Linked DNA regions of Nothobranchius furzeri. The protein of the gene in region 1 purifies or fractionates together with the protein of each later gene. This does not show direct contact. Links are inferred from orthologs where the notes say so. Each region holds a gene or a part of one and is shown on either strand. Other genes may lie near its edges.

What was found.
Region 2: the proteins of napab (region 1) and sec22bb purify together in Homo sapiens (affinity purification with mass spectrometry; 3 studies listed by BioGRID and IntAct, counting the BioPlex papers as one, with this or other methods). This does not show direct contact. The link is inferred for Nothobranchius furzeri from reciprocal best matches to the Homo sapiens genes NAPA and SEC22B.

Annotation. Positions count from the first base shown.
Region 1 is NC_091753.1:46,790,896-46,794,657, reverse strand, and holds the start of napab (N-ethylmaleimide-sensitive factor attachment protein, alpha b), read right to left. Parts: upstream 2,765-3,762; 5' UTR 2,640-2,764; coding exon 2,542-2,639; intron 1,871-2,541; coding exon 1,596-1,870; intron 453-1,595; coding exon 406-452; intron 310-405; coding exon 232-309; intron 134-231; coding exon 78-133; intron 1-77. UniProt on the Homo sapiens protein: Required for vesicular transport between the endoplasmic reticulum and the Golgi apparatus. Together with GNA12 promotes CDH5 localization to plasma membrane.
Region 2 is NC_091748.1:52,853,260-52,855,582, reverse strand, and holds the end of sec22bb (vesicle-trafficking protein SEC22b-B), read left to right. Parts: intron 1-1,075; coding exon 1,076-1,222; intron 1,223-1,307; coding exon 1,308-1,462; 3' UTR 1,463-1,668; downstream 1,669-2,323. UniProt on the Homo sapiens protein: SNARE involved in targeting and fusion of ER-derived transport vesicles with the Golgi complex as well as Golgi-derived retrograde transport vesicles with the ER.

The sequences.
Region 1 (3,762 bases):
GCCAAAACTGCCTAGTCTCCCTTTAAACCCAAAAGTGGACAGAAGTATTGCTCAGATGTGTTACGTCAAATATTTACCTGGTGGATTCTTCGCCTTTGTAATAATCTGCTGCTTGTTCATAATGAGCAACAGCCTGAAACACCACCACCCCCGAAAAAAAAAAATTCAAATGACCATGTAAACATTTGATCAAATATAAACAACGTGATAACCATCAGCTGTGTCTCTGACCTTGTCGATGTCCACCAACTCCGTCTCATAAATCTCAGCGATGGTGATGTGGTGTTTAGCAGCGATGGTGAAACGACCCTAAAATTACACAGGAGCAAGGACGAAACAAAATTAAAAACACAAATCAATAAAACTATAATAGCTTAGGAGGGGGATTTGTATTAAAAACCTCACCATATCCGTGTATATTTCAATAGCTCGGTTTAGGCAGTTTATGGCCTCTGTTGAGAGAAAAACATCAGTTCAGTGAATGACAAGAAATAAGTAAAAGGAAATTTCTTTCCACTGCAGAAAACAGACTTTAGACAAAGTTCACTCATTTTCTCAATACATCTGCAGTGATCTCTAGAATGCATGAATGGCTTGTGAAACAACATCTCATGCTCCTGTTTCAGGAAGCAGAAGTGAGCAGAATTCCTGATGTTCGGACATCTCACCTCTGATTGACTAACATTAACACAACTCTACCACTGACTGTTCTGCAACACTGATATGTTATCTCCTCAAATAACACAAGCCTAAAGGAGTTCTGCTATGTTGTGGAGTTGCTCATGCTAACAGTTAGTGTCTACTAGCTCTGCTCTTTTCTGGGTGCTAAACCAACAACAGCCTTCCCCCGTCGTGAGCCAAGATGGGCGAGTCCATGAATGTTAATTCACAGCTTGATGTAGAGCTGACTGTACTTTCTAACTCAAACATTTCCCCATCTATTTTCTATGGGCGACTAATGCAGGAAATATGGGTAGAAGACTTTTTTCACGTTCAGCCTGTACACAAAACTCAGAGCTTCCAATCATATTTACATAATAATAAGTAAAAAAAAGTTTCTCAGTGAACTTGGTCTTTAAATGCACTTCTGTAGGAAACATTTACCCTAAACATCAGAATCAGGCTTACCCAGAAACTTCTGCACAGGTTGAGGAGTTTAACATTTCTGACTGCTCAAGAATTCCTGGTATTTGTCTTTGACGTTTCATCTTACTTATATCACATTTAGTTTTGAGTTGTGCCACCTGCACAGGCACAAATAAACTGCTGCAAACAGGCATTGATGTTGTTCAAAATCTGCATGTATAAAAACTACCCTTAGTTTTAAAAATAAAGAGTCTCGATCAGGGGTAAGTCTATAGAAGACAGCTAAATTTCAGACACACAAGATGCTTGGAACTAAGCTAGTATGGGGTAAACTAAAGACTGTAGATAAGTGTACACAGTCATGGGATCAAACTTGCTGCCAAACCAGGTATTAATTAGATTGGCTGCACTTTATATGAAGTTAATTTTAAAAAGTCCAAAAATGTATTTCCTTCCAGATTTTAAAACCTTTTACAAAGAGCTCCATGTAAAATTGAGTGACCTCTTACCTTGTGGATCTGCTTTTTTGAAGGCATTTCCAGCATCTATGAGATTAGTTGCTGCATCGTGTTTACTCTGCATTTGCAGGTGAAGATGAGCAGCCTGAGCAAACGCATTTCCTGCAGCTGAAAAGAAAACACAAATTAAAAGATAAAACATATCAACAGATATGCACAAGGAAGGGAAAGTAACTGTCCTCTTACCACACCAGTTTTTGGCCATTTTGTACATGTTGGCTGCCCTCACATACAGATCACAGGCCTCTTCCAGCTTGGAGGAGCTCCTGTGTGAAAGAAAAAACGTGTAAAAAAACAACAACTATAAGATACTGGTTATTAGCAGGTTAGGATCGTGTAAATGCAATAAACAAGACTGGATAATAAGTAATTACTTTTCAAAATAAAAATAGTAGATAGTATTTCATCTGTTGAGATTGTTGTCCAATAATGACAATATTTCCGCACCAACATTTTTATGGCAAAAGGCAAATATCAATAAATAATTTTCATTAGATTTGATACAACTTTGAGGTTTCTACTGTAAACATTGTGACGATTTGCACAATACGGAACAGCCAGCAGATGGTGCTACAGCAGAGCTAATGTGATCACACTTTTTAAAAAAATATTTTTTTACAGTCATACTTAAATAAAAACGAATTTAGTATTCTGTTATCGTCCATGTCAAACAACGGTTTGTTCAGTGTAATTTTTCTCAGTTTACTGGGATAAACGGCTACGTGTTAGTCTTTGTTGTTTGCAGACGTTATGGTCAGCAGAAATCCGGGGAAATAACCTTACGTCCGTAGACAAATACTCTCAATACCACAACATCTTAACAGCAGCTCCAGTCCTGTTGTGCCCAGCCATCAGCCCTGGTGTTAGGTGGTCACCTTCCGCATAGCTGGCCCTCAGCTTGAAAGCAGAAGCTAAACATCAGCTAACTAAAACTCACCCAAACAGCGACCCGAAAAACGACTGAGATGATTTAACTTTCTTCTCCGCCTCCGCCATTAAAGCTGTAGCTTCTTTTTCTTTCCCACTGTTATCCATTCTGCTTTACTTGTTTTTCTGAATCTAAAGGGGGGCGAAAAAATACTAAAGTCAACAAAGTTGCTAAGTATTGCTAACAGCAGTGTCACATCAGCAGCCAGCGCTTTCTCTGTCACGTGACAATGGGAGGGCGGTCACAGCCCTGCTGCCTTCAGGTGCTGCTCGTACGGTCCAGAGTTGGTCCATTACAAATCTATAATGTTTCATGTTATAAACTGATTGTAGACCATGCTGCAACACAATATATCAATCGATAATTTAATTAAGAAACATGTTCGTTGTTAATATTTGCTGTAGAAACAAAGGAATCGCTTCTAATCTGTCTCAGGATCATTACAGTGCGTTCATGACAATCTATATAAAACAGTTCCCTTGTGTTATCTGTTTTCAACAGCCAATTATTTTTCTATAAGCAATCAGACATTAAAGGTGACAATATTTAAGCATAAATGTTGTAATAAAACGTAATAGCGTAAATATCTTCAAAAGTGCAGTTTTAAAGGAATATTGATTAGAATTATAATAAGAAAATGCTTTCCTTTAGTCAATGCCAGTTCCATTATAAAGAGACATTTTTAATCAAAATGGGTTAGCATCATAATGAAACTGTTTGTCAGCTGAAATCTTTACAATTTTAACATAAATAATAGATAACAACTATGTTAAGTGGTTTTCCAGGCTTTGCATTATAGCACAGTGAATTAAATGTGTGTAAAATATTTTGTTGAAAAATACATGACAAACATATTTTAGGGCTATGGGTTGTGGTAGGTAACTACATGAGTCAAACATTCAAATACCTTTTTAAAATTTACAAAAATAATCACGTATTTTAGAACTATACAAAAATTATTTAAAATATGGAAAAGGAATGTTTTCTTGTAGATTATGTTACAGTATTTTGCTTAGGCTTTTTGTAGATTAGTTTGTTCTTTTCTTAGCCAAAATCATATAATCTGATTGCAGTTCAAGACTGGGTTGCATTTATCTAACAAATCTGCTGGCATTTGTTAACATGACTGCTTTTATATTTTTTTACATTTGTGATCCAGTTTCTTTTATGATTTCATTTTAAGCAATTTCTCCCCACAGGCTTCCTCTGCTGTTCCTGCCTTTCTATTGA
Region 2 (2,323 bases), on another chromosome or scaffold:
TGTCGCTCTCTCCTTCTCCCTTGCTGACCGTTTCTCTGTTATGTTCATTGCAACAGTCGGAAAGGTTTTTCTGCACTTCCAGACACTGAATTGGAAAAACCTCTCAGGTGTTACGGTACGGAGCAGCTTGAGTAACAAATACTACAACAGTGAAGCTTGCTCATCTTGTTGATCAAGTTCGTGTTATGAAAGTCACCGAGGGGCTACCATGAGGTGTCATGTAGGCTACCAAAGTGCAATCTCTGAGCTTTTCTGCACTTTTGTTATTTTCTGATGTCCTGAACAGCTCATGGATTACGGTAATACGGAGGAGGCATGTGAAATGCTGTCAGCAGCGACAGCCTGGTTGCTCAGAATCGTGTTCATATAGATATCAGGAAACTCGATTCCTGGTCAGATATTTGGATATAAAAGCTAAATCGTGATGAAATTATATTGTTTAAATCTCATTCCCACACAGGGTGGTGTGCCACAGAAGCATGGATGAATGCACGTAGTATCATGGCTTCCTTTCTGAATTAGTTCAGAATATCAGTCAGTAACAATCCATCAGTCCATCCGTTATCTGTACCCACTTATCCACGCTGGGGGCTCCAACAGTCTCTAGGCAAACAGGCGGGGTGCACCCTGGACTGGTTGCCAGTCTATTGCAGGGCAACACAGACACACAGGACAAACAACCATGCACACACACACACACTCACACCTAAGTATAATTTAGAGAGACCAATCAACCTGACAGTCATGCTTGTGGACTGTGGGAGGGAGCCGGAGTACCCGGAGAGGACCCACGCACGCAAACTCCATGCAGAAAGACCCCAGGGCGGGATGCGAACCCAGGACCTCGCATCAAACCTTCAGCTTTAAAACAGATGTCCCAAATGCTGCATCTTCTCCGGAAACAGTAGTAGCTGCAGAGCTGATGAAGCTTTACTGAAATTCCACAAAAAAAAAAATCCTCAATTGTGCAGATAAATGAGCCTAAAACTGTAAACTGTGAAGTGTTTGAAGCAAACAACTCATGGCTTCATTGTTACTTTTCTGTTTTTCTGTTGCGTTTTTTTTTCTCTTTTAGACACCTACATTCAAAAAACCAAGAAGTCGTACATCGACAGCCGAGCACGGAGGAATCTGGGTAGCATCAACACGGAGCTGCAGGACGTCCAGAGGATCATGGTGGCAAACATAGAGGAGGTTCTGCAGAGAGGAGAGGCTCTCTCTGGTCAGTCTTGGTCATTTGAGGCTGAAGCTTCAATCTAAAAGAGGAAAAACCTCATCTGGATCATCTTGTTTTCTTCTCCTTGCAGCGCTCGACTCCAAGGCCAGCAATCTGTCCAGCTTGTCAAAGAAGTACAGGAGTGATGCCAAATACCTGAACACCCGCTCCACCTACGCCAAGCTGGCAGCAGGTGGCGTCTTTTTCATCATGCTCATCGTCTACGTGCGCTTCTGGTGGCTCTGAGAGAGGAAGAGGGAGGAGGTAGTGAAGTGGAAACGAGCTGCAGGCCGTCTGCGAGTGCTGAGAAAAAGCAGCACTTTCGACCCAAAAGGATCCCTGCTCTTAATGAGACTTTACACACACGCACACACACACACACGCGCACACACACACACACACACACAAGCACTCATTTTGTCCTTAATTGTCCGTATGTGGGTCTGAATAGCAACGGTGTCATGAAACAATGTTTTCTAATTAACAGTCATTCTCTATCTATGGCCCTCGGATTGTAGAGGAAATTAGTGTGTGTGTGTGTGTGAGAGTGTGTGGGTTGCCTGTTTTTGAATGTGATTTCTGTGCAAAGGTAGAGAAAAAATTTATTTCCCGTTTTGTTCATTAACCTTCTGTATGTCTAAGGATACAGATAAAGGACACAAACCACATCATTATTTTCCTTTTTGCTCCTAATCTCATAAACGTGCATAACGCGTCCGATTCATCACTAAATGATCTCCGCTGTAATTTAGGCACAAACATTTGAGGCAGATTTCATTTAAAGTAGTGTTTGAACGGTTCACAAATACAACTATCTGTTTTATTTACCTTTATTGTGATGAGACAGGATGTGACATCAGACGTTATGCAGTGACTCAGAAGGGGCGAGCAACCGAAGGTGGTTCATCTCAACCCGTTCCCAGCTTTTACCCACAAGATAAAAATAAGTTTCGCACGCGTCTGTGACATGAAGAGGCTTATTAATGCACACCGACGACATCAACCCTGTTTCCTTATCTTTGCTTCCTGTTTGTAAGCTAAGGGACGTGTTTAATAAAACCGTGTCATCATTTCTCTCACATTTAAGTCTTTGTTCAAAGTTGAAGT